Linked DNA regions of Xenopus tropicalis. The protein of the gene in region 1 interacts with the protein of each later gene in a biochemical or structural test. Links are inferred from orthologs where the notes say so. Each region holds a gene or a part of one and is shown on either strand. Other genes may lie near its edges. The genes, in order: plin3 and m6pr.

Region 1 (4,351 bases):
TTGTTTTTTTAGGTAATAAATGTTTGTCTAACGTCAGGTAAACCTACTAAAACAGCCCTACAACATCCTGTAGGTTTGTAAGTACTAAGGCACACAGGGCATTTTCCGGTCTGGTGCATTTGGCCTACAGCATATTTTGAGGCCAAGCAGAGTCTTATATGCAAAGAACCGCAAAGAAATTATTTTATTTTTTTGCTGTTATCACCCCTTTATCCTGAAAGAAGATCACACATGCTATACAGCTCTAACAAAAAAGGTGTATAAATTCACTATCCTCCATATTCTTTATTTGTTACTCACTCTGTGGTTCCAGTCTCGTTAGCAGTGGCTGAGCTCCACTCATTGCAGCCTCCGTTAGAGTCTTCGCACCTTTCTCAGCCACGTCACACACACTGCGTATGTAGGGGTGACTTTCTTTGGTGGAGCTATATACAGCACCAACAACACTGCATGCCGAACTAACCAGAGGAAGGCTTGTCACTCGGCTCACTGCATTCTGTTGAAATAAATACATCTAAAGGTTTTGAGGACTGGATCAAAAACAAAAAAGCATGTGAAGGTTTATTAAAGGAAACTGCACATTTTAAGACAGGGATCCCCAACCTTTTAACCCGTGAGCAACATTCTAATGTAAAAAGACTTGGGGAGCAAGACAACCATAAAACATGTTCCTGTGGTGCCAAGTAAGGACTGTTATTCGCTATTTGGTAGCCCCTATATGGACTGACAGCCTGCATGAGCCTCTGTTCTGAATATGTCCCAAATCTGCCGTCTTCATGTAGTGTACATATAAGAACATCTTTGCCAAAATCATTATTCCTACATGGTTGGCTGATGGAAAAGGACTGAGCTAGAAATTTTAAAGTAACAAATAAAAAGGGAGGTACTTTTTCTTCAAATTCTGACACCTGAAATAAATCTATTTGCATTTGACCAGAAGCAGTCACTTATGTAGCTATGCAAGCTATAACTATTATTAAAGGAAAAATAAAGTCAAAGTCACTTGGGGGTGCCAAAATGTTAGGCACCCCCAAGTGACTTTGACCGCCTACCTTTTACCCCGGGCTGGTGCCCCTGTGAGGAAGGAACAGCACCAGCCCGGGGTAGCTGCCGGCGCTTCCTTGCTGCTGATTCGCTGCGCGCGCATGCGCAGTAGAGTGAAAAGCCGAACTTAAATGTTAAAGTCGGCTTTTCACTCTACTGCGCATGCGCCCACCGCTGGCACTCAGGAAAAGGAAGCGAGGAAGACGGAAGCGCTGCGCTCCAGGTGCCCCGGGCTGGTGCTGTTTTCTCCTAACAGGGGCACCAGCCCGGGGTAAGAGGTAAGCGGTTAAAGTCACTTGGGGGTGCCTAACATTTTGGCACCCCCAAGTGACTTTGACTTTCGTTTCCCTTTAAGGCCTAAAATACCACTATATGGGTTATACAGGAGAGTTTACATAGCAGGCTGACTGGGCACTATTTTATATATATTTGATGCCTAATAAATGTTAATACTGAGAGACTTATTGGTACATGTACATTATAAGCAGGATTGGCAAACAGGAACAGAGCTGCCTATCAATGGGGAGAGTGGGCCAGAGAGACTTAAAGGGGAGAGATATTATAAAACAAAAAAACAACCTTAAAATCCCCTAACAGAATAAATACAGAGAAGTCAGACTGAGATTTGATAGGTTTCCCTAGTTTCAGCAGCCACAGGTACCAATGGCCCCACTTAAAATGGCCATACATGGCCAACTTATCTGCCCGTGTATGGGCACTGCCGTCAAGCCTACCTGACTGATATTTGGCCTAGATAAGACAGGTTTTATTTTCCCCTCGAATCAGGGACTGTATTGGCCCGTTGATGTGGTCCTTGGTCCGGTAGCCCATATACCTGCCATTTTACTCCGATCATTTGGCCCAAGGACCAAACAATTGAATTAGCCCGATATTGCCTAGTTTAGGTTGATATTACCACGTTTGGTGACCTTTACTGTACAATAATACAGATACATGCAAACAAATTCACACTCTCTGGGGCTCATTTATAAACACTGGGCAAATTTGCCCATGGGCAGTAACCCCTAGCAACCAGTGACTGACTATTTTTCAGCCAACTGTAAATTGAAAAATGAAAGTACACAGTTGATTGGTTGCAATGGGTTACTGCCAAGGTGCAAATGTACCCCGTGTTAATAAATGAGCCTTTTAGGTTTCTCACAGACATTTAGCCTTTCCTCCAACTGAAGCCATTTCCTAACACTCTTTCTTTCACACACACACACATCATGTGACCAGGCAGGGACACAGAGGAGACTCAATCTAAAAAGTTTCAGACTGCAGCAGCTACCAAAGAGACCTGCAGCGTTAGAAGGAAAGAGACAGAATTAGCTGGAGCTGAGATCTTAAACAAAATTATTGGAACCTGGGATACTTGTTCTTGTCCTGTTTGAAGGGAAAACTTCAAGGTGGAGCAGAAACACCCCTTTTCCCTTATTGTGGTTAACTATATCTATTAGTACCGCAGGTGTTTTCGGATACCTGGTTAAACATCACAAATACTGGGTCCCTAATGCTGTGTAAACTAATAAGCACTTCAAATTCTGACACACAAAAGGGAGATACCTCTGCGGCTGCTCACCTGTTGCTCGGGAACCTCATCAGCAATTGGCGCAGCTCCATTCTCAGACATTGTGCCACGCAGCTTGATATTTAACCTGGGGCAAAGAGCAGAAGCACCAAGATATGAACAAAAAAGCACTTATCCCACTGCAGTTCCGATTTAACAACCCCCACCCACAATCCAGCACAGCTCTGACATAACTGTTTACAGTCAGAAAAAAATCCCACTACACTGAGAAACGATGATAGTATTAGCCCCCCTAATACCTACACTTTACTTACACACTCGTCTCCTCTCTTTGTAAGTTCAGCTCCTCCTTTCTTCCCCCTACTTAAAGGCTTGATGTGTCATCAGAGTGGGAGGAGTTATACTCAGTGCCTAAAAGGGGCAGTAGAAAAAGGCAGCTGCAGCACAGTGGAGAAGCAGTTTCTATGTAGCTAATACTATTATAGGCATCCACAGTAAGGGGCAAGTTTTCCCCTCAAACAGGGCACAACAACAAGTGCCCAAGGTCCTTACAATGATGTTTAAGATCCTAGATTGTGCTGATTATGTCTCTCTCTCCTGATAACACTGCAGGTTTCTCTGCATGCTGCTGCAGACTGAAGCTATGTGTGTGTGAGAATGAGAGAATATTAGGAAATGACTTCAGTTAAGGGGTAAGGCTAAATCTGTGTGTGTGTGTATGTGTGTGTGTGTGATTGTGTCTGTGAGAGACTGAGTGTGAGTTTGCATGTGTCCCAGCCTGACCCGTTTGTATTTGTTTTGTTAGAAAAAGGTAGGTTTTATTGTTTTTAACTCTAGCCTTAAAAGGCTAGCCTTCTATGTAAACTCTCATTACCCATATAGTAATATAATAATTGACTAGTTGCTTCAGGTCAAATGCTTTCAAAATGGATTTATTTATATCAGGTGTCAGAATTCAAAGAATTAAATTTATCCTTTGTGTTATTTTAAAATGCTTTTCTTACTAAGGAGAGTTTGTAAGTTATTATTATTTATATAGTGCTATTTTTCAAATACAAGGCAAAATATTTAACATATACCTTTTTTCCAAAATTAATTTGCAGTTACAATTGGATATTGTTAGAGGGAGGGCCTGCTTGTTAGAGCATACAGAAAAAGAAAGTATGTTGAGGGTAACGAGTTTGACTGAGTTTCTGTTTTTTAGTAAAGTGAAGAGTAAGAGATAGTAGTAGTGATTGTGTAAGCAAAGAGTAGAGGGGTTCTGGGGGGTAGTCAAGTTGCTGAGTGTTTAGGTTATAAAAACAGGGTGACTAGATCACTTGAAAATTCAGGGTCTAATAAATACATGTTGCAGGGCAATTTAAAATAAACTGCAATCAGTTTAGCCCTGCTAACTGAGCATGTCAGAGGATAGGTGTAACGTGAAAACTACTGCATGTGGGGGTGAAAGGAAGTAATGAGCAAGTAAGAGACGGACAGCAGATGGACGATTACATCTTGGTGATTAGGGTGCACTATATATAGTGGTGGGCACTGGTGAGCATTTTGTAGGTGAGTACAAGAATCTTGTGGAGTGGGAGAAGAGTATAAGTCTGCAACAGTGTTCAAGATGGATTAGAATGGGGTCAGTTTACATAGGGAGAATCCAGAGAGCAGTGAGTTAGAGTAGTCTACTTGAGATTTGACAAGGTCATGGATGAGAATTTTATTAGCCTCTTGTGTGAGGAAGGGCCAAATATGAGAGATGTCCCTAAGGTGACAGCGGCATAATTTAGT
Region 2 (3,817 bases), on another chromosome or scaffold:
AAGCACAGTAGGAGGGGAGTAGCCAATCACAGCCCTGCAATCACACAGAGACATGCTTCAGTTCCCTATCAGCCTAGCTGCTAGGGAAAGATAAGGAATATAAAGTAACAATAACAATAAAACCGGAGTCTCACAGAGCAATAGGTTTTGGCTGCCGGGGTCAGCGACCCCCATTTGAAAGCTGGAAATGTCAGAAGAAGAAGGCAAGCAATTCAAAAACTAATAAATAATACAAACCAATTGCAAAGTTGCTAGGAATAGGATATTCTATAACATACTAAAGGTAGAGGTGAACCGCCCCTTTAACGTGCCTCCCTTTCCCACAGGCGACTGGATCATGCTGTACTATAGAAGTGGCGACAAGTACGACACTCACTGCAATAACGAAGCGAGGAAAGCCATGGTCATGATATCCTGCAACAAGGGGACTGTCGGGGTGAGACCAACGGGACAGGAGTCTCGTTAATTACTAGTCATTAATTAATTAGCTCCAATGTTAAAGGGCACCTATCTGGTGCTAGGTGCCCTTTAAGGGTAAGAACCCACGGGGCAGTTGTGACAAATCACTCTGAAAAAGCTGCTTGCCGGACGGTCTTTGTGTTGGGCTGAGCTAAAAGCCCCTTGTGCAGTATCCACGCCCCCTACTGATAGGCTCTGCTCTTCCCCTATAGGACGGCTTCACGGTAATTCAGGAAGAGAGGAACAAATCCAGCGAATGTTTCTACCTGTTTGAGATGGACAGCAGCCTCGCCTGCCCTCCCGAAGAGTCGCATCTCAGCGCCGGCTCCATCCTCCTGATCGTGTGAGTTGGCTCGCCATTGGCCGAGAGCTGGAGAGAGGTTTTGGAGCTGCAGGAAGGGTTTAAAGGAACAGTAACACCAAAATATAAAAGTAATTACAATATAATGTACTGTTGCCCTGCACTGGTACAACTGGTGTGTTGTTGTACAGCAGGGTACTATATATATAGTAGGGTTTCTGTAGCAAACACCCCAGCTGTACCGGTGCAGGAATGGCTGCCCCCGGGGCTACACAGCGGGGTATTTATATAAACTATAGTAGGGTTTCTGTAGCAAACACCCCAGCTGTACCAGTGCAGGAACGGCTGCCCCCGGGGCTACACAGCGGGGTATTTATATAAACTATAGTAGGGTTTCTGTAGCAAACACCCCAGCTGTACCAGTGCAGGAACGGCTGCCCCGGGGCTACACAGCGGGGTATTTATATAAACTATAGTAGGGTTTCTGTAGCAAACACCCCAGCTGTACCAGTGCAGGAATGGCTGCCCCCGGGGCTACACAGCGGGGTATTTATATAAACTATAGTAGGGTTTCTGTAGCAAACACCCCAGCTGTACCAGTGCAGGAACGGCTGCCCCCGGGGCTACACAGCGGGGTATTTATATAAACTATAGTAGGGTTTCTCAGATTGCAGCCTTGTGCCTTTATATGGGGGGCACAGAACCCCTCAGTGACTGCTAATATCCTTATCATTTACAGTAGGGGGTACATTATCCCTTATAATACATGAGTGATACTCAGAGTTCCCTGTATAACTCAGCCTGCAGCCTTGTGCCTTTATATGGGGGGCACAGAACCCCTCAGTGACTGCTAATATCCTTATCATTTACAGTAGGGGGGTACATTATCCCTTATAATACATGAGTGATACTCAGAGTTCCCTGTATAACTCAGCCTGCAGCCTTGTGCCTTTATATGGGCACAGAGCCCCTCAGTGACTGCTAATATCCTTATCATTTACAGTAGGGGGCACAGATAACAATAAAAAATGGCTTAGCACCATTGTCCTTCTCTCGTCCCTTCAGAGACCCTGGAGCAGTTTATATGGGGGGAGCCGTTTATATGGGGGGAGCCGTTTATATGGGGGGAGCCGTTTATATGGGGGGAGCCGTTTATTTGGGGGGGGAGTGGTTCCAGATGAAACTGGGCGACAGAGCAAACGCTCACATAGCAGGGAACAATCTGTGCAGAACACAGTGAGAGAGAAACATGACAGACCTGGGGATAAAATGAAGCTTCATATGAAGTAGAATATTTGTTGCTAGGAAATAGTTTACGTTACATAGATGATAAAATACAAAAAGGCGTTACTGTTCCTTTAAGGGCCGTCACAGATGAGATTAGTCACTGGCAGTAAAGGAAGTTAATCCCAGGCAACTAATCACCTAATCTCCCATCAGCCCAAGGGAAAGGAGAATCATAACTCTAACAAACCGGATCCTCTCCCCTTAAGGCGGCCATACCCAGTGAGGCCCCCAAACGAGCCACTCGTTCCCACAACATGGCCACCTTTATGTTCACTTTTATTGTGTTATAGAACAGCCAATTCTAAGCAACTTCTCAATTGGTCTGCCTTATTTGTTACAGTTTTTAAATGGTTTAAACGCCTTTTTCTACATCTTTGCAGCTTTCAAATGGGGGTCACTGACCCCGGCAACCAAAACCTATTGCTCTGTGAGGCTCCAGTTTTATTGTTATTGTTACTTTTTGTAACTTTCTTCTCTATTCAGTCCCTCTCCTATTCATATACCAGTCTCTCATCCAAGCCACCCCCTGGTTGCTAAGTTAACTTGGACCCTAGCGACCAAATAACTGCTGAAACTCCAAACTGGGGAGCTGCTGAACTGAAAATGAAATAACGAAAAAACTACAAGTAATAAAAAATGAAGACCAATTGCAATTGTCAGAATATTACTCACTACACCATACTAAAAGTGAACTCCAAGGTGAACAACCCCTTTAGGCAGAGGCTGTAGGAAAGTTTATATTCTCAGTATAATGATATATACGGCCCTTTAGTAAATAACACCGGTTATACATGCCCATGTAAAATCCAATCCATGTTTAACCCGCAGGTTCGCTGTTCTGGTGGCCGTTTACCTCATTGGCGGGTTCCTTTACCAGCGCTTTGTGGTTGGAGCCAAAGGGATGGAGCAGTTTCCTAATATCACTTTGTGGCAAGAGCTCGGCAACCTGTCGGCAGTGAGTAGTGACACAATGGGTCGGCCATAAAGCGCGGGTCTGTGTGTGCGAGCGCGGGCCTGTGTGTGCGAGTGCGTGCGGGCCTGTGTGTGCGAGTGCGTGCGGGCGTGTGTGCGAGCGCGGGTGTGTGTGAGTGTGCGAGCGCGAGTGTGTGAGTGTGCGAGCGCAGGCGTGTGCGAGCGCGGGTGTGCGAGTGTGCGAGCGCGGGTGTGCGAGCGCGGGTGTGCGAGTGTGCGAGCGCGGGTGTGTGTGAGTGTGCGAGCGCGAGTGTGCGAGCGCGGGTGTGAGTGTGCGAGCGCGGGTGTGTGTGAGTGTGCGAGCGCGGGTGTGCGAGCACGGGTGAGTGTGCGAGCGTGGGTGTGTGCGAGTGCGGTTGTGAGCGAGTGTGTGCGAGTGTGCGAGCGCGGGTGTGTGCGAGCGCGGGTGTGTGCGAGTGTGCGAGCGCGGGTGTGTGCGAGTGTGCGAGCGCGGGTGTGTGCGAGTGTGCGAGCGCGGGTGTGCGAGCGCGGGTGTGTGCGAGCGCGGGTGTGTGCGAGCGCGGGTGTGTGCGAGCGCGGGTGTGTGCGAGCGCGGGTGTGTGCGAGTGTGCGAGCGCGAACTGAATCTGCATCCTAATTTGCATATGCAAATCAAGCGTTAAGTAAAGTTGTGCGTTTGTGTGTATATGAGAAATAAGGAGGCGCTGAGTCCAGGATTCGGTTTGGGATTTGGCCTTTTTCGGCAGGATTCGGATTCAGCCAGATCCATGGAAGATAAGATTTTCACAGCACACAGCGCTCTTTAACCCTTTTATATCCTCATTTGCATATGTAAAT

The links.
Region 2: the proteins of plin3 (region 1) and m6pr form a complex in vitro, tested with the Homo sapiens proteins (2 studies listed by BioGRID). The link is inferred for Xenopus tropicalis from reciprocal best matches to the Homo sapiens genes PLIN3 and M6PR.

Annotation. Positions count from the first base shown.
Region 1 is NC_030677.2:93,722,002-93,726,352, reverse strand, and holds the start of plin3 (perilipin-3), read right to left. Parts: upstream 2,998-4,351; 5' UTR 2,890-2,997; exon of another isoform or gene 2,879-2,889; intron 2,703-2,878; 5' UTR 2,678-2,702; coding exon 2,627-2,677; intron 497-2,626; coding exon 301-496; intron 1-300. UniProt on the Homo sapiens protein: Structural component of lipid droplets, which is required for the formation and maintenance of lipid storage droplets. Required for the transport of mannose 6-phosphate receptors (MPR) from endosomes to the trans-Golgi network.
Region 2 is NC_030683.2:7,999,126-8,002,942, reverse strand, and holds part of m6pr (cation-dependent mannose-6-phosphate receptor precursor), read left to right. Parts: intron 1-326; coding exon 327-436; intron 437-671; coding exon 672-802; intron 803-2,875; coding exon 2,876-3,002; intron 3,003-3,817. UniProt on the Homo sapiens protein: Transport of phosphorylated lysosomal enzymes from the Golgi complex and the cell surface to lysosomes.